Cricetulus griseus: one gene and its partners. The protein of the gene in region 4 purifies or fractionates together with the protein of the main gene of each other region. This does not show direct contact. Links are inferred from orthologs where the notes say so. Each region holds a gene or a part of one and is shown on either strand. Other genes may lie near its edges. The genes, in order: Mknk1, Eif3a, Eif4b, Eif4g1, Eif3j and Eif3i.

The links.
Region 1: the proteins of Eif4g1 (region 4) and Mknk1 purify together in Homo sapiens (affinity purification with western blotting; 3 studies listed by BioGRID and IntAct, with this or other methods). This does not show direct contact. The link is inferred for Cricetulus griseus from reciprocal best matches to the Homo sapiens genes EIF4G1 and MKNK1.
Region 2: the proteins of Eif4g1 (region 4) and Eif3a purify together in Homo sapiens (affinity purification with western blotting; 4 studies listed by BioGRID, with this or other methods). This does not show direct contact. The link is inferred for Cricetulus griseus from reciprocal best matches to the Homo sapiens genes EIF4G1 and EIF3A.
Region 3: the proteins of Eif4g1 (region 4) and Eif4b fractionate together in Homo sapiens (co-fractionation; 4 studies listed by BioGRID, with this or other methods). This does not show direct contact. The link is inferred for Cricetulus griseus from reciprocal best matches to the Homo sapiens genes EIF4G1 and EIF4B.
Region 5: the proteins of Eif4g1 (region 4) and Eif3j purify together in Homo sapiens (affinity purification with western blotting; 3 studies listed by BioGRID and IntAct, with this or other methods). This does not show direct contact. The link is inferred for Cricetulus griseus from reciprocal best matches to the Homo sapiens genes EIF4G1 and EIF3J.
Region 6: the proteins of Eif4g1 (region 4) and Eif3i purify together in Homo sapiens (affinity purification with mass spectrometry; 5 studies listed by BioGRID and IntAct, counting the BioPlex papers as one, with this or other methods). This does not show direct contact. The link is inferred for Cricetulus griseus from reciprocal best matches to the Homo sapiens genes EIF4G1 and EIF3I.

Annotation. Positions count from the first base shown.
Region 1 is NC_048595.1:36,459,606-36,462,345, forward strand, and holds the end of Mknk1 (MAP kinase-interacting serine/threonine-protein kinase 1), read right to left. Parts: intron 1,837-2,740; coding exon 1,602-1,836; 3' UTR 501-1,601; downstream 1-500. UniProt on the Homo sapiens protein: May play a role in the response to environmental stress and cytokines. Appears to regulate translation by phosphorylating EIF4E, thus increasing the affinity of this protein for the 7-methylguanosine-containing mRNA cap.
Region 2 is NC_048596.1:552,983-556,482, reverse strand, and holds part of Eif3a (eukaryotic translation initiation factor 3 subunit A), read right to left. Parts: intron 2,988-3,500; coding exon 2,899-2,987; intron 1,496-2,898; coding exon 774-1,495; intron 1-773. UniProt on the Homo sapiens protein: RNA-binding component of the eukaryotic translation initiation factor 3 (eIF-3) complex, which is required for several steps in the initiation of protein synthesis.
Region 3 is NC_048595.1:398,468,281-398,472,470, reverse strand, and holds the start of Eif4b (eukaryotic translation initiation factor 4B), read right to left. Parts: upstream 2,801-4,190; 5' UTR 2,668-2,800; coding exon 2,655-2,667; intron 1-2,654. UniProt on the Homo sapiens protein: Required for the binding of mRNA to ribosomes. Functions in close association with EIF4-F and EIF4-A. Binds near the 5'-terminal cap of mRNA in presence of EIF-4F and ATP.
Region 4 is NC_048597.1:67,973,473-67,976,972, reverse strand, and holds part of Eif4g1 (eukaryotic translation initiation factor 4 gamma 1), read left to right. Parts: coding exon 1-80; intron 81-1,978; coding exon 1,979-2,091; intron 2,092-2,889; coding exon 2,890-2,982; intron 2,983-3,187; coding exon 3,188-3,254; intron 3,255-3,500.
Region 5 is NC_048599.1:56,393,410-56,396,187, forward strand, and holds part of Eif3j (eukaryotic translation initiation factor 3 subunit J), read right to left. Parts: intron 339-2,778; coding exon 177-338; intron 1-176. UniProt on the Homo sapiens protein: Component of the eukaryotic translation initiation factor 3 (eIF-3) complex, which is required for several steps in the initiation of protein synthesis.
Region 6 is NC_048595.1:23,441,453-23,444,543, reverse strand, and holds the end of Eif3i (eukaryotic translation initiation factor 3 subunit I), read right to left. Parts: intron 2,353-3,091; coding exon 2,242-2,352; intron 2,127-2,241; coding exon 2,037-2,126; intron 1,591-2,036; coding exon 1,517-1,590; intron 874-1,516; coding exon 781-873; intron 661-780; coding exon 579-660; 3' UTR 501-578; downstream 1-500. UniProt on the Homo sapiens protein: Component of the eukaryotic translation initiation factor 3 (eIF-3) complex, which is required for several steps in the initiation of protein synthesis.

The DNA of each region.
Region 1 (2,740 bases), on a different chromosome or scaffold from region 4:
CCATGACCTGAACCCTGAGCCCATCCAGATTCCTTCTTTGCACCTCCTTGGTCTCTAGTCTGGCTGTGGGTGGGAGGCACCATTTCTCGTTGTCATCAGCTCTGGTAGGACAAGTTCAGTCTTGGGCATACAGCAGGTCCTCAATAAAAGCATAGTAATGCTTTAGACAGAGAAATATGGTCTTTTGTGGATGGGTACAGGGTCATCTATCATAGCTCCTTCTCAAGTCTGCTTGTGTGATGACTACTGACCTAATTGCAACCTCTTCTCGACATACAACTGTTAAAAAGCAGAATCATTTATTGTAGAAGTGGTGTTGGATGAATTTCATTTCCTCATCTACAAACAGAGAAGCAAAGCTCTCCATCTCACCTTGTGGATCAAATGTGCTATTATACTTGGGAGTCCTTCCCATAATCTGACTAGGCTCAGGCCCCATCCTGGAGGCCTGCCTCCTCTTCAAGTTTGCCATTGAAGAAAGGACCACCAAGGCTGTCAGATGGAATTTTAAATTATTTATTAAAACAAACGCAATTTAAGAGAGAATTTTGGTGATTGTGGTTGAATAATGTGTGTGTCACATATGCAAATCTGTTTTCTTTATGCGACTCCACAGTATATATGACAATGGCTACACCACCATGTCTGGAGCTGAGGGCACTGCATCCCTCAGAGCAAGGCAGCAGGGCCGCCTGTGACCTAGGTTCATGTCAGGCACAGCAGTCTAACTGCCCTGGGTTTGTGCCTGTTTCCATAAAAGACCTGGGAGAAGGCAGCAGCAGACGAAGACACCATCTCTAAAGTGTATGTCATAGTAACAGCTTAAAATCAGTTGGGACTGTGGAGAAGAGGGGATTAAAACCCAAGCACATGGAAACCCTGCTTGGGGAAGTCCATGGACTTGCAGTGGGAGTTTGAAGTTCTATGCTTGCTGGAAGACATGGTTAAAAAATATTTTAAAAAAGAAATAATACTGAGTCTATCAGCAATCCCAAACATGGAAGAGGATGATAAATGAGGAATACATTTCGGTCACGGCAAAGAAAGATTATGTGCTTCTCTGTGCTACAGACTGGAAGACTGATCTGGCTTCCTGCCCTTCCTGAATTGAGGGGATGGCTTTGCTCAGCCAGGGAGAGGACAGTCAGCGAGGACGTCTGTAGGACAGAGGAAGGTGGAAGAATTGCCAGAAGGTGACAGTGCAGGGAGAGAAGAGGCATGTGTGTCAGCAGCCTCTGTCAGCTCCGGGAAGCTGCTCCCTGAAGGCTGCGGCCCCAGCAGCCCCCACCGCCAGCTGGATCCGGGATCTGCACACAGCGAGCACTTGGAGCCCAGCAAAGAGATGTTCATGCTGCAGGCGATTATGCAAAGTGACAAGTGATTGCTTTCCTTTTCAAAGACAACCCCTTTGGAAAAAGCTTTTTCCTCTAAGGACCCAAGGGAAATGGGGGATGGGTGGGAACCCATGGAGCCTTTGTGGATGGAAAAGGCCCGCCTGGAGCTGCAGGGCAGGTAGGTCCCTCTGCTTGCTTCATTCTTTGACCTCACAGGTTTCCAGGGGGCATCGCCCGGACTGGCCTACAAGATGTGCCTGCAGTGGTTCAGAGCCCCATGGATGTTGAACATGGGTTTGCATCCCTGCTTCGTCCAGCCTGGGCCAGGGCTCGCCTTCGTGCCAGGCGAGATTTGGAAGGAGGGGACAGCTTCATGGAGCAGAGGCCCTCAGCAAGGGCCTCAGGTTCCTCAGCCAGTTCGTTCTCCTCATGCTGAGACAGCTGGCGGTTAAGGGCAATTGCCTCGGCTGCGAAGAGTGTCAGGTCCATGGTGCTGCTGTTTCTGTAGGGACCAGGAAAGGCATGGAGAAGAGGGCAGCAGGATTGAGATCAAGCAGGCAGGCTGGCAGATGCACCCACTCACAGCTAGGTCCTACAATCCAGCATATTTTCCTGGGTCAGCTGCTCTCTCCAAAGTGGCTTTGCCTGGGTTTGGAACCTTGCTTGACTAAGATAAGAAAGGCCTTTGAGCCTCATGGGCTGGACAGTCAGGGCAAATGGCCTCTTCTCAGAGCACCCACCTCCAGGCTCTTCCCACGCCAAGAGGCTGCACTTGTCTCTGTTTTCCTGCGGGGAGGGGCTCTAGTACAGGGCCTGAGCTATTTATCTCTGTGCTTCTAGAACCCAGTCCAGGGCAAGCATCTGCCAGACACTTTGGGTCTGTTGAATAATCATCTAAGAGGGACCCAGGGTTTGGCACTTGGAGGCATCTGCAACAGCTTTAGTCAAGTGGGAAGCCAGCTGTGTGGAGGCAGCCTGGGGTGGACAAAGGGAGACTATTCTGGGTAGTTTCTCCTAAGAGCTGCAGTGGTCCAGAGCCCCATGGATGCTGAACATGGGTTTGCACAAGGTTGGGTCCCTAAGGGGGTTTCTGTTCAGCTTAGCTCCAGCTCTGTGGGCAGAGCTTGGTAGAAATTTATCCAGAGCTGCTATGGGTCCCAGCACAAGTTAATTTGAGCCCACTGATTCTTGCCTTTTCCATCTCTAAAATGGGGGCTGGAAAACTTAAATTTGTTTGTAAAGACTATGGATCTAGCACAGTCACAGACTGCAGGGCATTTCAGTTGCTGACAAGCGCACATGATGGTATCACCCAGTGTTATCTCTGATGTTTGTACACTATGGAATTATATTTCTCTCTCTTTTCTGTTTTAAGTGCTGGAAACTGAAGTCAGGGCCTTGTTGAT
Region 2 (3,500 bases), on a different chromosome or scaffold from region 4:
TGGAAAGGTGTGTCAGTGATTAACAACAGCACATACTGTTCTTGTAGTTCAATGCCCTTTTACCATGTCAGGTGGCTCTAACTGCCTTCACTATCTCCAGGAGATTTGATGCCTATGGCCTCCAAGGACACCTGCATTCATTCACATGTACACACACACACATACCCACACACAGGTATGCACATACATGTCATTTTAAAATAATGAATCAAACAAACAAACAAAAAAAAGAGCTAAACTAAATGACAGACTTACCACAGGCTAAAACAGAAAGCAGAGAACTCATAAATTAAGATATTTAAGATGGTGGTCACAGAGCAGGTATTTATTTGGAGAGGAGGAAACAGTAAGTTTAAGTGTCAAGTGAAGCACTCTCAGAGTAGAGTTGACTAGAAGAACAAAATTGAGATCCTCAATAGGATCCCATTGGTGGACCGTTGTTTTAACAAATATTTAATATTTTTCATTTAAAAGTCACTGCATAGGCACTCAAGGAAAAAAACTACCTACATAAAAAAATAAAGAATACAGTACAACTGTCATGTAGCCATACAATTTCATTTTTTACACAAAAAACAGGATTCTGCAGGGCGTTGGTGGTGCAGGCCTTTAATCCCAGCACTCGGGAGGCAGAAGCAGGTAGATCTCTGAGTCTGAGTGCCAGGATAGGCTCCAAAGCTACACAAAGAAACCCTGTATGGGGTGGGGCAGGGGGAGGGGGGGAGAGGGCAGGATTCCATAAAGCATCTAATTTTCTAAATATTAAATCTTACCTGGCTTGACGAATGGTCTCCAAGGGCCAGGTCTTGCATCATCACCTCGCCTGGGAATCCTATCATCATCCATATTTCTCCAAGGCCCCCGGTCATCATCTGCACCTCGCCTGGGAATTCTATCATCATCGGCATTCCTCCAAGGTCCTCGGTCATCATCCAACCCTCGCCTGGGGCCCCGGTCATCATCCATGCCCCTCCTGGGACCCCGGTCATCATCAGCATTACGCCAGGATGACCGTTCATCATCAGCACCTCCTCTTCTCGGCCCCCGCTCCTCATCCATCCCACGTCTAGGTCCTCTGTCCTCATCTGCTGTGCGCCAGCTTCCTCTGTCATCATCCAGTCCCCGTCTCAGTGGTCTGTCATCATCCAGTCCCCGTCTCAGTGGTCTGTCATCATCCAGTCCCCGTCTGGGTGGTCTGTCATCATCTGTGTGACGCCAGCTTCCCCTATCATCATCACCAATTCGCCTGGGAGGCCTGTCGTCATCTGCATTACGCCAGGATGGACGGTCATCATCTGTTCCTCTACGAGAAAATCTATCTTCATCGGGACCACGCCTAGGCCCTCTGTCATCATCCAGGCCACGCCTGGGGATTCGATCATCATCTGGTCTAAGAGAAGATTCTCTCTCTTCATCATCCCCCAAGCGTCTCAGGCGGTCTTCATCTCTCCTGTGAGGTCTCTCATCATCCCGAGTCTCTCCTCGTCTCCACTCCCTAAAGAGCAACAAGTTACAAGCTTTACAAGCTAATTTTTCACCAGGTGGTGGTGGCACATGCCTTTAACCCCAGCACTCGGGAGGCAGAGGGGGCGGATCTCTGGGAGTTTGAGACCAGCCTCATCTACAAGAGCTAGTTCCAGGACAGTCTTGAAAACCACAGAGAAACCCTGTCTCGAAAAAGCAAAAAAAAAAAAAAAAAAAAAAAAAAACAAAAGCAAATTTTTCAGAAACCATATGGATCCTTGATTTCACTCATTCTTACAAATCATTAAGTCTAAATTCATTCAGTGTCATCCTTTAAAAATGTTTTCCAAGCCGGGAGTTGGTGGTGCATGCCTTTAATCCCAGCACTCGGGAGGCAGAGGCAGGTGGATCTCTGTGAGTTCGAGGTCTGGTCTCCAGAGCGAGTGCCAGGATAGACTCCAAAGCTACACAAAGAAACCCTGTCTCTAAAAAACCAAAAAAAATCTTTTCCAAATAAAAATTATACAAAATCTAGTACCTTAAATATACTAACATTAGACAACAGCCTACAATTACCTATTGCTTCCCAAGAGGACTTGCAAAGTTCTTTACGTTTTACAATGAGCTTTTCTCTAAACAATTTCTACATAAAAACACACTTCCTACCACTAGTAATAACCATAAAAAACAGCTTAAAAACTGAGCATGTAGCTATATTACAACTTCTAGGAGAAGTTGTACAACAAGGTTCTATCTCTAATACTACTAAAAAAGTTTTTTAAAATAATGTTCAGTCGAGCATTGGTGGCTCATGCCTTTAATCCCAGCACTGGGGTGGCAGAGGCAGGCAGATCTTTGAGAGTTCAAGGCCAGCCTTGTCTACAAAGCAAGTTCCAGGACAACCTCCAAAGCAATACAGAGAAAGGCTGTCATGAGTGAATGAATGTTCTGCCATTAGAAAAATGACATGGACAGGTATTTTTGTTTGTTTGTTTGTTTGTTTTTGGGGGGTGTCTCTGTGTAGCCCTAGCATCCTAGAACTAACTCGCCTGCCTGTCTCATGAGTGCTGAGATAAAGTGTGTCCCACCACAACATAGCATATTTCATTCTTACTCTTTAAACTCAATGTTGTTGGAATCTGATGGATGTATTTCTCGGATTTGTATGGGTCAGTCATCAGAGCGATGTTGAAGGGGAGAAGGGGAGAACCTACAAAGTCTGATTAACAGTAAAACCAGATATGGTGGCACAAGCTTTTATATATAACAATAGGGAGGTCAAGATAATATTGGGAGTTCAAGGTCATCTTAAACCTACACAGGACCCTGACCTTTGCTCAAATAACAGGTGGATCTGCATACCCTCCTATAATTAAAATCTGATTTTAAAATCAGGATACCAAGACCCAAGACTGTTCCCATGAATCCACTTACTTCTCTGGCGGGCCTCTCCTCCACTCAGAGTCAGCTTCTGGCCCTTTCCTCCATGTACCTTCTGAATCTCTGTCTCCCCACCGAGAGTCCTGCACCCACAAAGCAAAGAGGCATCATTGTAATAAAAGTTATCTATCACTCAAGCATTCCATTCTTTCATTAGACCCCAAGATCCTAAAATAAAAGTCTCTGGTTGAGGGAGGCTACGCAACCTTTTCACTGTGAAGCCAGTCTTGGCTGTCTAAGACCTGTCCTTCCACAAAAATAAAAAAACCAGGCACTGGAAGAGCTCAGTGGTTAAGTACATGTACCGCTCTTCCTGAGGATTAGAGTTGAGTTCCCAGCAAGAGATGCCTCACAAGTTTATCTGTAACTCCAGGTCCAGTGAATCCAACAAGTTGGTGAGCACCTGCACTCATGTGCACACACCCACATGCACATGATTAAAAATACATTTAAAAAAATGGAAAAATATAATCAGCAACCAGGCAGTGTTTAAGGGGCAAAGCAGTCGCTCAGAGTGGCTAAAACACAAGCTGACAGCTGAAACTGGTGAAAAGGCCTCACCAAGTATGTTTGCCTTTGGCTCTTAGTAATGAGTA
Region 3 (4,190 bases), on a different chromosome or scaffold from region 4:
ACATGGAAACTGGTATTGCCTCAAATGTTTGGTCTTACCTATTAGTGATTAAGTTATATCTGGCATTTTCACAGAGAACCCAAAACCCATTTCCAACTCTGGGTATGTATAATGGTCACTCAAAGTCAGTGTAATTGGAGAAAGAAGTGTGGTCAATTCCAAACTCTTCAAAGGCCAAGTAATAGGTAAACATGTGCTGTGGTAACACACTAAGCTACATTTCCCGAGTTAAGTTTAAAAAGGGGGGGGGGGGAGAGGGTCTTCCTGGGAGTGTAACACAGATAGGTGAGAAAAGGGGGAAGAGACATTACTAGGCAAACCTTTTAAATTGTGAATTGCACACCAGAGTAAAACCAAAGATTCGGCTTACTCTTAACTATTGTTTGATAGGACACAGGTAAGAGGATAACTTGGAGGAGTCTGCTCTGGCCTCCACCATGTGGATTCTGGGATCTAAACTTGACAGCCTTGGTATATCGGAGCCACGTCCTCAGTTAAGCTATGGTGTTGTCCACCACTAAGAATTTCGAAGGGGAAACACATCTAGACTTTTCACTCAGTTAAGACACTCAACTGACAAGGTAGTACACCTATGCCATTGAGTATTTTCCACCATTTAAAACAGTTTCTTAAGTTTTAGATGATGGTTTTCAACAGCAACTCCAACTTAGCGTGGCACTTTAGTATTTCCCATCTTAATGAGATCAAGAGCCTGGAGTCCCCCAAGATTTTGACCCTGCCCTGCTACATGCAAGCAATTTTTCTTCAGCTGGGAGAAATCACCAGTTCTTTACATTATCTCACAGGTTTCTTCAGTTAAGTGCTACAGTAACAAAAGCTGTTGGTATATCCTTGGTTCAGGGTTGGGAATTTATAGTTTACCCAGAGTGCTTGCCTAAACATGTGCTGGTCCATGCCTTTAATCCCAGCACTTGAGGATCTAAGTTCAAGGCCAGCTTGGTCTAAGTGAGCTTCCAATCCCCCAAAAACACAATCTTAAAAACAAAACAAAAAAAGGCTGTGTGTGTGCATGGTGCCTACTGTATCCAAAAGTTCTGCGTTTAAGGTTCAACAATGCAAGAGGGGGAAATAAAGTCTTATGCACAAATGCCATCTAAATTCAGCGAACATTTCCCAAAGACAATCATAGCCCTAGGTCCCTTGTAAGAACAGAAACGATGGATTTCTGATAAATTAAATGTTGCTGGGTGTGGTGTCTTAACACTTTAATCCCAGCACTTGAGAGGCAGAGGCAGGCTGGTCTCTGAAGAGTTTCCAGGACAGCCAAGGCTACAAAGAGAAACCTCAGACCTGAAGGGGGTGGGGAGACTGAATGTTGCCTTTAATCCTAGAACCTGGGAGGCAGTGGATCTCTGTGAGTTCCAGGCCAACCTGGTCTACCAAGCTCCAGGACAGTCAAAGCTATAGAGACCCTATCTCAAAATTGTTTGGAGGCAACAATCCAAAAAGTATTTTTTTTTTACAGACTAGAGGGTCATGTTAGAGAAAATAAAGCGTATTTCCTAAACTAAAGCTAGGTGTTTAAAAGGGCATTTTTACAAGTCCATTTAAAATGTAAAACAAAAACAAAGAAAAAGCAGCTCCCCCCCCCAAACCCACTTGCAATGAAGTGACACACACACCCCATTTTTAAAAAAGAAAACCACAGAACCTCTAGCTATTATTTTAATAGCACCTTCTGGGAAGTTTCCCAATTATCCAGGGAAACGACCAAAGCAAGCTGAATCCTGACAACTGAAAACTACCAAAAAGTCAAGCAAAATGGAAGCTGTGTAAGGCAACGACCTGCTCTTGTTCCCCACCCCTGCCTGGCATATAGTACAAACTGTTGAATGAAGAGTTGGGAAGAAAATCCACATAGGAGATAGGTGTCCATCCCTACAGCTCCGCCCTAACACGTGGGCGCACACTAGGCTCCCTACCCCCAACCATCGCAGCACCAACCTCCAAACCCAATGTGCGTTCCCTTGGAGGACAGAGGCCGGGTCACACTCCACAACCCCAAACCTACCAAAGCATAAAGTACAAGGTCACCAAGGAGCCAAACCCGGGCCCATCGGAGCTTGCCATCTGGACTCGAGCGCACGCTTCCGAGGCGAACCCTCTTCACCTCGCCTCTCGCCGCGCACGCGCACCGCCGCTTCCCCCCGCCCCTCCACGGACTCGCGCTCGCGTTCTAACCGCCCCCCCACCCCTGCCCCCACGAGGGTCCGCAACGGCCTCGCGCCTTGGAGACCGGGTCTCATGCGCTCCAGTCCGCGCGCCAACCGCCTCCGTCCTTCCTCCGCGCCTGGGCGCGGGCGCAGCGCCTCACGCCTAGGAGAAGGGCCTCGCGCGGGACTCCCGCACACCTTTCTGCGCTACCTCCTCCGACCGGAGCCGAAGCCCACCATTACTGCCTACTCCAACCGCGCGCAAGGGGGTAAAAAGGGAGTGAGGGGGAGGGGAGAGGCCTTCCCCTCCCCCTAAACATTCCGAGGCACCAGCCCGCAGCGGCTATGCCGCCAGCCTGCCGCAGCTCCCAGGTCCGAAGGGAGCCGGTGCCACCTGCCCCCCAACTCCAGCAAGGAGCGGATCAAGCCCGGAGGCTATTTCGGAGCCCGGTCCTTGGCCACGCTCGGCCGCTCACTCACCTGAGGCCGCCATGTTGGGAGAGGGAGAGAGAACGCAAAGGACCCGGATGAGGCAATCACGTGATTATAGCGGGCGCGACGGGCTTGGAGACGCGAAACCAGGAGGGGGCGGGGAACGGAGGACGGAGGCAGGAGGAGGCGGGGCGCTGCCGTGCTAGGTTCGTAAAGCAGCGCGACGAGGTGGCGCGGCGTCCGACCGGAAGACCTGCGCGACATGTGGCCGAAGGGGTGGAGTCTGAGCTGTCGCGAAACCCTACGCTTTACGTTGGGCCCGGCGCGGCGGTCAGGTCGGCTGTGCGCCCTGGGCGGGGTCTCCTGACGCACAGACTTCTGGGAGGTGGGTCGGCGCGAAGGGCGGGGCCGCACTTTCTGATTCCATGGAACCGAGCTGGCTTGGAATCTAGAATGGATGTGCCACAATTGTTTTTTTTTTGTTGTTGTTTTTTGTTTTTTTTTGTTTTTTACAAAGAGAAGATTCGGAGTTTGTTTTAAGTCGCTTTTTGTAAAGGCAAAGCAAATCTGATGTTCTGTATTATGGTTTCAATTAAGCGTGCTTTTTAGCGTGCTTAGAAGGAAAAAGAAAGTAACATTTGAACATGCTAAGGCCGTGAACTTTAGCCTCATTTAAGCCTCCAATTTACTGACAAGGTCCAGCGCCGAGTGCTAGCCACATTTCTTCCAGCCAATGCTCCATTTTTATTATATTTCACTAAGTAAAACTTTGAGCACCAACCATGTGTCAGGCACTGTTTAACAGAGGTTTGTGGATATAACAGAACAAAACTACCTTGAATAAAATATTACAAACGATAAACACAACAGGTAAGTAAGAATATTCCAAATGATAAACACTACAGGTGAGTAAGATAATAGAGTAAAAGGTGGTTGAGTGCAACTCTAGATGTTCTGCTTAGGGAAGGTCTCTGAGGAAGTGACATTTAGAATGAGCATGGTGGTGCATGCCTCTTGAGGCTAAGGCAGGAGGGTTGTTGAGAGCTGCAGGCCTTTCTGGACTACATAACGGGTTCCAGTCCAGTTTGGTATACGGAGTGAATCCTTCCATGTATTAACAAATGGGCTGGGGAGCTGGCTTAGTAAGAGGGCTTGCTGATAATGCATAAATAGGGGCCTCAGTCCTGGAACCTTGTATCCACATATTTTTTTGGTCCATGGCTACAGGAGGGTTAGTCTATAACCCTAGCATCGTGGAAGGCAGAGACAATACATTTGTGGGGCTTTCTGGCCAGCTGCTTAACACCAGGTCCAGTTCTCACTGGATTGTTTTAAGGATATGAGACAGGATACTTGGCAAGAGTCCCCTAGACTGCAGGGGTGAGCATCACCCACACCTGTGTGGACACCTACATAGATGGGGACACACACAGGTAAGCCTCCCACAAAACAGGAACAAAAAAGCTGTAGGCCCCGGGGAATGTCTTCATAATACCTTTAGAAAACCGGATACAAAGGATTGAAGATAAGGCTTATTGGTAGAAGAATGCCTAAAATGCAAGAAGCTCTGGGTTCAGTCTCTAG
Region 4 (3,500 bases):
CCCAACACAGCAGTACCCTGTGCAGCCAGGAGCCCCAGGCTTCTATCCGGGTGCAAGCCCTACCGAGTTTGGGACCTACGGTAAGCAGGGGTGAGAGTGCGTCCTACGGAACACTTAAGTGGTCTGCTTTCTAAGACCTTCCTGGGCATGCTTTTGGTTTTTAAAATAATAGGATTAATAGATGATAAGAATTTGTGCCTACAGCTGGGCGTTGGTGGCACAAATCTTTAATCCCAGCACTCGGGAGGCAGGCCGATCTCTGTGAGTTCGAGACCAGCTTGGTCTACAAGAGCTAGTTCCTGGACAGTCTCCAAAGCCAAAGGGAAACCCTGTCTTGAAAAACAAAACAAAGAAAAAAGCGCCTACTATTTAACTCCTATTGGTAAGGGAAGCTTTGATCTTTTGCCAAGAGAGTTGGAATCTTTTTCCATTTCAAGAAACATAGGATCAAGTTAGGAGTGGTGGCATACGCCTTTTATCCCAGCCAGTACTCGGGAGGCAGAGGCAGGCAGACCTCTGTAAGTTTGAAGCCAGCCTGCTTTACATAGTGAGTTCCAGGACAGCCACAGCTATGTATTAAGTCCCGGTCTTGAAAATAAAACCAGGACCAGGGCCTTCAAGATTGCTCTGTGGTTAAAGGCATTTGCCCCCAGCCTGGTGACATTTGATCACTGAGCTTGGTCACTGGGACATGGGTGGGTTGAAGGAGAGAACTGACTCCTCTAAGTTGTCCTCTCACCTCCACTCATAAGCCATGGCACTCAGGCATGCATATGCTAAATGGATGAATAAACTAATCATTTTAAAAAAGAAAGAGCTGGAGATACAGAGCTCAGTGGCTTAGAGGTTCTTGCAGGGGGCCCAAGTTCTGTACAAGACCCATGTCAGTCACCTGACAACTGTCTAAAACTTTGAATGCCTGGAGGAGCCAACGTCTCTGGCCTCTCTGGGTACCTATAGGCATGTACATACCCCACACAGGCACATAGTTAAGAATAAACTGAAAGAAATACAGGCTCCAATTTTAAAGCCAAGTTAGTGGACTTTTTCTGTATTGTATCTTTTCATTGTTGGGAGACAATAACATGGATTTGAGTGGTTTTCATAGCTATCTTTCATTTATGTTCAATAAAAGAATTATTCTGGAGAAACCCTGTCTTGAAAAAAAATGAAACAAAAAGAATTATTCTGATCTATATGGCAGTTGGTTTTGTTTTTGAGACAGGGTCTTAATTATGTAGTTCTGGCTTGGCCTGGAACTTGCTCTATAAACCAGGCTAGCCCCAAACTTGCAGTGATTTCCCCCTGCCTCTGATTGCTGGAATTACAATTGTGTGCCACCATGCTAGCTTACAGCAGGATCTAAAACTTCCTATTGGGAAGATGTTAAGTATGTTCATCTAATACATTTATAGTTTTCTATATGTGTACATGTGATTTAAACAGATAATCACCATTGGTACTTTACAAAGGGACAAGTGGGGATTAGGGATGAGTTATAAGGGCACCCTACTTTGGAAACAATGCTTTAGGGAATTCTTATTTTTCTTGGGCCTAATGTTACTTTTTGTTACATTACTCCTTGCAAAGGGCTGAATTGGTAGTTGGAGTCAGGTTGAGTGGAATGGTTTGGAAAAACCTTTCCATTTCCTGCCAAAGAGCTGATTGTGTCTCAAGTTGAGAGTATACATGTGTGTTGCCGGGGTGGGGTAAAACCAGGTACCTTGTAGCAGAGAGAGGAAGGAGTTCCTGCCTACAAGGTGTGTGTGTCTATGAGAGGAATTCTTGTAAATGCAATTCAAACTGGTTCCCCTACTTTGACAGACACCTAATTCCCTAGGGAGGCGGGTAGGGCAGGGCAGGGGGCCGGCTATGTGTGATGAGAGGTTCTGCAGTGGGAGGTGTTCAAGCAGATGTTAGTATATGTTTGGGTCCTGATGCTGTCACCAATCTTCCTTTCTGTCTTCCTTCCCTCAAGCTGGTGCCTATTATCCAGCACAAGGTGTGCAGCAGTTTCCTGCTAGTGTGGCTCCTGCCCCAGTTCTGATGAACCAGCCACCCCAGATTGCTCCTAAGAGGGAGCGGAAAACTGTGAGTAGCAGCAAGGGGATCTGGAATAACCTGGGAGGGAAACTCATGGTCTGGTATCGCTAGGATGTTGTGCCTGTGGGTGCAGAATGTCATACACCTTTACCTGAGTTTAAGCAGAGAGCAAGTCTGTGGAGTACAAAGGTTCCTTGTAAGGTGATTGCAGTGTACAAGGAACTCATAGGATGACTAAAGTGAGCAGCAGGGAAATTCCCAAGAGACTAGGGCTCTAGTAGGATCGTAAGACCTGTGATCAGTTTAGGGTTGCTGGTGGTTAGCTTTGGAAATGGTTTGTTTTGTGCTCCTCACCCCCTAGTCCTGGAAGCTGTGGAGGCCTACGCCTCTGCTCAGTCCTCAAGCCCTGGGCATGGTGCCCAGAATAGGGTGCCAGGGCTGGGGAAGCCGCTGAGTCACCCTGGCTCCACCCACTGCATCTGGGCCCTACCCCTAGAGATCAGGCCGACCAGCCACAAGTTAGCTAGCTGGATGCTAGATGGGGGTCTTGAGCCCCAGGGTGTGCAGCCATTGACTTAGGGATTGCTGGTGGGTAGAGGGGAGGGAGGGAGGGGCATTGTGATGTACAGGGCTGCTCTGTGAGGTCAAGAGTCTTAGGGGTGGGGGCTAGGGCAGCGACTACAAGAGCAGCCGGATGGGTTGACAGTAGAACTCATGGGGTTTCTGGCACCCACCCACCTGCTTCCCAGTAGGGGTGGGAGGTTGGCCCAGAGTCTTAGGAGTGGGACAGGGTGGAGAGGTGGGCTCCTTCTGCTTCCCACTCATCCTGTAGCTTTTTTTCCCCAGATCCGAATCCGAGACCCAAACCAAGGAGGGAAGGATATCACAGAAGAGATCATGTCTGGGGCCCGCACTGCCTCCACACCCACTCCTCCCCAGGTACTGTCAACTCTTGGAGTGATACCTTGGCCTGGACAGCTATTCTGTCCTGGATTCCCAAGTCACTTGATCTTTTCCTTCACCTAAGGGTTTTATTTCCCAGCTTTCCTGGATTTCTAGGCAGAGCTAAAGTAGAAATGACTCTAGTAAAGAAGGGTGTGGAACTCTTGAGTGCAAACTTATAACGCTGCTTTGTGTCCTGCAGACGGGAGGCGGTCTGGAGCCTCAGCCTAATGGGGAGTCGCCTCAGGTTGCTGTCATTATCCGGCCAGGTAAGGAAGGCAGTGGCACAGCTTTTATGGGGAAGTGAAGTATGAGTATTTAACTTGGAGGTGGAGTGGTATGAGCTGAGGATCAGAGAAGAATAACTTGGGTTTCATGTGGTGGGTTTGCAGGTAGACTGTTTTGGAAGAGAAGGGAAAACAAACAGCCTTAGTTGGAAAAGATTGGGATGTGGTGTGAGACTGTTAAATTGGAAATAACCTTGGCTAGGAGGAGGAAAAACAACAAGTGAAGGA
Region 5 (2,778 bases), on a different chromosome or scaffold from region 4:
AAGTAGCCATCCCCAAATATTCAAACTGGAGATATTTGCTAAAAAAGGAAATCCCAAGTCTGTATTATAGCATTAAAGCTATAGAAAAACAAAACAAACAGTAACAACAAAAAAAGTTTCCCAAGTATGTTAAGAATATAGTCTTAACAAAGGGGGCAGAAATCAGCATCACTTACATGAAATACAGACATCTCGAACTAAGGCTTCCAAAAAACTGGCATAATATAGTGATTTTTCATATTGCGTAATTTTATCTTTTAGTAATTTTCCAAATTCTGTGAAGTCATCTCTTGAAGATGGGTTCATAGCATCTATTCCATAACCTGTATTATTAACACCTGCAGGAGAAAAGAGCTGAAGCATTAGAAGACAATCATTTTCATCAATAGGGGCTAGAATGGCTCTCTGGGTAAGAAGAGCTTTACCCATGTAAAGATGATTACACAACAAAACTGTCTTCTGACTTCAACACAACCCTCTCTGTAACAAAAACCTTAAAGTTCATTAACCAAGTTGCTATCAAAATCAGTTTTATTCTAAAGCAGGACTTTAAACAAACTGTCATATTGTGTGTGCACATGCCACCATGACCTGCATGTGTAAATCAGAGGATAAACTTTCACTCCTTCCATCAATATGTGCCCTGGGGTATCAAACTCAGGTTATCAGGCTTAATACCCACTGAGCCACCATTCCATCGCTAGGAAACTTTACAAACTACTGAGCTTTTTAACAAGAAAAGAAAAAAATCTATCTTGAATTTTACTAGCCTCCAATTCAGCATTTTCGCCTATTTTAATTTTAGGCAAAAACATTTAAAAAAAACCCTTCGGAGTACACTGCAGCTGGAGCAGATATCCCCACCACTGTCTGATCAGTACTGTCAAGCACTACTATTAAAAAGCACCTGGCGGCCTGGCGTTGATGGCGCATGCCTGTGATCCCAGCACTGGGGAGGCAGAGGCAGGTGGATCTCTATGAGTTCCAGGACAGCCAGAGCTGTTACACAGAGAAACCCTATCTTGAAAAGACAAAACAAAACACATGAAGTTGAGTAGTTATGAACATTCATACTCCCAGCTTGGGAGGATGGAGAATTCAAGGCCAGCCTGGCAAAAACCCATCTCAAAAAAGAAACAAAACAACCAACAACCAAATTAATAAAACTATATATGGGCTGGGAATGTAGCTCAGGTAGTGTTTGCCTAACATGTATGAAGACCTGAGTTCAATCCCCTGCACTAGAAACTAAAAATCTTTACTTTTATCATGGATTTGTTTTGTGATTTGATTCCTGTTTCAATTGAACAGGTTTCCTTTGTTAAAAATAAAGTGTTAGAAAACACCTTTAATCCCAGCATTCAGAAGTAGATGCAAGCTTCTCTGTGAGTTCTAAGCCAACCTGGCCTACAGAGTGAGTTCCAGACCAGCCAGAGCTACACAGAGACCCTGTCTCAAAAACAAAAGCCATACTAAAAAAGGACCCACAGAATTTACTAGCTGTCCAAAAAAGGATGCTCTCAAAAGATCTGTCCAAGAAAAACAAAAGAGATAGAGTGGGAGAAGGCTCAGTAGGTAAAGATATTTGTCACCAAGCGTGACCACCTATATTCAATCCCCTGAACTCCCATGGCAGGAGAGAAGCAACTCCACAAGTTGTCCTCTGGCTTCCAAGGCATCCTTGGGCAAAGATGGGTAAGGATAACAAAAAAGATGGATACAATAAAAATAACCAGCTAACCCCAAAAATTAAACAGAAGTAACCATGTGTTAAAAAAAACGTGGTGGCGCACGCCTTTAATCCCAGCACTCGGGAGGCAGAGGCAGGTGGATCTCTGTGAGTTCGAGGCCAGCCTGGTCTCCAGAGCGAGTGCCAGTATAGGCTCCAAAGCTACACGGAGAAACCCTGTCTCGAAGAAGAAAAAAAAAAAAAAAAAAAAAAAAAACACCGAGAGAAAATAAATCTAGCCTAAAAGAATTCTAGGCGAAAAGTATGATTATGTATATACCTTTTTCAAGGTCAATAAATGACCTAGCAAAACTACAGATTCAGCATTGTAAGTGCAAGAAACAGTAAATTCCTACTAACCAAACAATGACTGTGTTATTTCATTTTTCACTTCTTAATTTGTAACTGGTATCCCATGAGATTTTCTATTCTGAACACACATGGGCTGCCATGAATAGAGGAACACCCACATTCACAGCTGAAATTGCTAGAGACCCACTGAAGAGTATGGTCAGACTTTCCTAAAGGGGAACAAGCAAGTCTCTTGTGTTCTAGAGAAGGCCTTGGGTGAATTTTTTCACAGGGTAATGACAAATTTGACAAATGAAGTATTCTGGATTTCTCTACTATGTCTTTTAACTCTTCCTTAGGTAGCTGGCTAGTTTTTAAATCAACACGACACAAACTAAAGTCCTTTGTTTAGTGGAAACCTCAACCAAGAAAAGAAAATGACCCCACCAGATTGGCCTATGGCCCATTTTCTTGATTTCTGATTTATGTGGGACAGCCCAGCTAGATGTGGGCAGTGCCACTCCTGAGCAGGTGATCCTGGGAACTGTAAGAAAGCAGACTTACTGAGAGCAGGCCAGTAAGCAGCAATCCTCCATGGCTTTTGCTTTACTTCCTGCCCTGACTTCCTAAGCTGTTAAGATAACTGATGGCCCTGAAAGATGGTGTACTATAAAGGCCAAGAAAAAGAAACAACTCCGAACACAAGGCAAAGCCAAAACTGAATATTCTACATGGACTAACATGTTCTGCCCAAGTCC
Region 6 (3,091 bases), on a different chromosome or scaffold from region 4:
ATTAAACTGAGGTTACTGGTAGTTCTGAGTTGCCCAACGTGGGTGCTAGAACTGAGAGCCACCTTCAGTTCAACTACTCTTCAACTCCTTAGCCACATTGCTTTCTGTGGAGCCCCAGAGCCTGAGCCTATGGTGAGGTAAGCCCTAAGCATTCCCCTGGAGAATTCTCTCCCTGCTGGGCTTCCTTACCTTTCTGTTTCCTCAGCCCCTTTTCTGTGCTGGTCCAGTTGGCCCCGCTCACCCGAGCCATCAAATCCACAGAAAAGGAAGAGGGAAGGTTCTCAGACTATAGCATGCATCAGCCTGAGCCCTTTCTTAGGCAGCGGCTTCTTGACCGTGGTGGATGAAAAGTGCCAGCTACACAGGCTAGCCCAGAGCAATGCAGAGTCTGGGTGCAGAGAGAAAGCCTGCAGAACAAAGTATTCCTATTACTTTCAGCCAGCAGAGGGTCAGTGAAGCAGGAGAACCTGACAAGCTGTGCAAAATGGCTGACCAGAAACTATTTTTACCAAACTAATTTATTTCTAAAGAGTCTAAAACCCTCTTGAGCAGCCTCCCCGGTGGATGGAGATCCAGCTTCAGGCCTCAAACTCAAACTCAAAGTACTGCGGGTCGAAGTAATGGATGCGGACGTAACCATCTTCACCACCGCTGCTGTAGCTGTTAAGAGATGGGCAGTGATGATCAGATGCTGCTGAGAAGGGAAGTCTGGGCAGCCAGACAGAGCAAACAGGCAGAGACCCCCGGCCGCTGAGATCACTCCCTTCAATGGGGCCATACCTCTTGCCATCAGGATGAAAGGCAACACTGTTGATAGGTCCAAAGTGGCCCTTGACTCTTCCAAACTCCTCTTCAAAAGCCAGATGGAAGAACCTGGAAGAGAGGGTGGGTAGGAGAGCAGTTATTTAGTCTCCATCTCCTCAAACACACTTGAGGCAGCACTCTGAAAAAATGAAGACTGTTGAGGACAGTATTCTACGTAACAAAATTAATAAAGTAGAGAAATTAGGAGATGGAAAGAAATAATGAAGTTATAGGAAGACTGCCCAATTGTCTGCTTCAATATACAACAAACACCAGGCATGTACTGGGCAGTGCTCTAAAGTTTACTAAATATTAATCATTTACTTAATCTGCACACATTTCTGAGGAGAGTACACTATCTCTGGCCATTAAACAGTTGGAAATCACAGGCACAGAGAAAAAGACAGGCTCATCTAGGCCCTGAGTTCATGATCTCTGCTGTTGTTTAGAGATAGGGTCCTGTGTAGCCAAGTGAGCTAGGAGTTGGCTGAGGCCAAGGATGACTTTGAAACTCACGCTCTTCCATCTCTGGAGTGACTGGAACTGTGTTAGAGGCTTGGGGCCACGGCCCAATGGTAGTGCTAGGGACGCACCTGGTTTGCCAGCAGGGCACTTTAGCCAGACAGATGCCCAGCTGTCCTCATTTCCTGTATTAGACATCTGTCACAATCCTTATGTGGTTTCAATATGGAAGAGCTTGCTTCCCCTTTACCTGGCTTCAAACTTGCCAATCCTGGTGGAAGTTGTGGTCACATCCATGGCTTCCTGGCCACCTCCTAGCACCACCTAAAGAAAAGAAAGTTCAGAAAGATGGTGACGGCATATGCCTTTAATCCCAGCACTTGGGAGGCAGAGGCAGGAGGATCTCTGTGAGTTTGAGGCCAGCTACACAGGTTCCGAGAAAACCTGTCTTGAAAAACCAAAAAAGAAAAAAAAAGGGGGGGGGCAGAGAAGAAAAGGAAAGGAAAGGAAAGGAAAGTTCAGGTACAACCAGGACTTATTTACAGGTTTCTGTCCTTGGCTGAGGTCTCCCACCCACAGCAGGAGTATCCTCAAGAAAGGGATGAGTAGTCATGTCAGGTTTCCCCAGCTCACTTCCCTAAGCCCAATCAATCAGCACTGTAACAATCCTAGGTGCCCCTTCTCTGACACTATTCCCCAACAATTACAGCCCTAGCATTGGTCATATACTCAGACTCCAGAAGCAGGAAGCATGAGTGGGGTCTTCTTACATGGTCATAGTTGGGAGAGAGGGCAGCCGAGTTGACGGGACGTTCTGTTCGGAAAGTCTTCTGATGTTCAAGACTCGTGGAGTCAAAGAGCTGGAGAGAAGGGAGGAGGAGAATCTGGGTTGGGCAACTTTTTGGGCAGGTCAGACTGGTTGAATGTGCAGCAGAGGGGCAAACAAAGCTCCACCAGACCCATACCCAGGCTGACCTTAGCTGTGTTGTCCTTGGACGCGGTGACAAACATGGTCATGTCTCTAGATAGCTGGATGTCATTGATCTGCCGGGAGTGTTCCTTAACGCTCACCAACACCTCCCCAGACTGGAGGAGGAAGAAGAGACTTGCTGGAGTCCCAAGCCACTATTCCCCTAGAAACTTCAGACAAGCTAGACTTTTCATTTTATACCTTTCTTACCTCAATCTAACCCCATGCCAGCTTTATTTTTGGGATTGATCGACCCCAAATACCCCAAGTACTCAAACACTGAACAGTGTTGATGCATGACTTTAACCTCAGTATTCAGGAGGCAGGGGGATCTCTGTGAGTTCAAGGCCAGTTTGGTCTATACAGCAAGGTGCAGGACACTCAAGGCTACACAGAGAAACCCTGTCTCAAAAAAACAAAAAAATATGTGTATGGATATGTGTCCAAGGACATGTGTCAGTGTCCACAGGCCAGGCAACACTGAATCCCCCTAGAACTGGAGTCCCAGGCAACTGTGAACTGCCCGATGTAGTGCTAGGAACAGAACTCAGGTCCTTGGCAAAAGGAGCAAACATTCTTAACCACTGTGGCATCTCTCTCCACTAAACTTCTAAGGTTGGCCCTAAACTCACTCTGTAGCATAGGCACACCTGGAAATTTTTTTTTTTTTTTTTTTTTTTTGAGACAACATTTCACCTTTACCCGGCTGGCCTGGAACTGGCTACATAGACCTCAAACTCAGATCCACCTGCCATTGGCCCCCAAGTAATGGGATTAAAGGTGTGTCTCACCTCAGCTCCCCTCAAGTCTGGAATTTTTTTTTTTTTTTTTTTTGGTTTTTTGAGACAGGGTTTC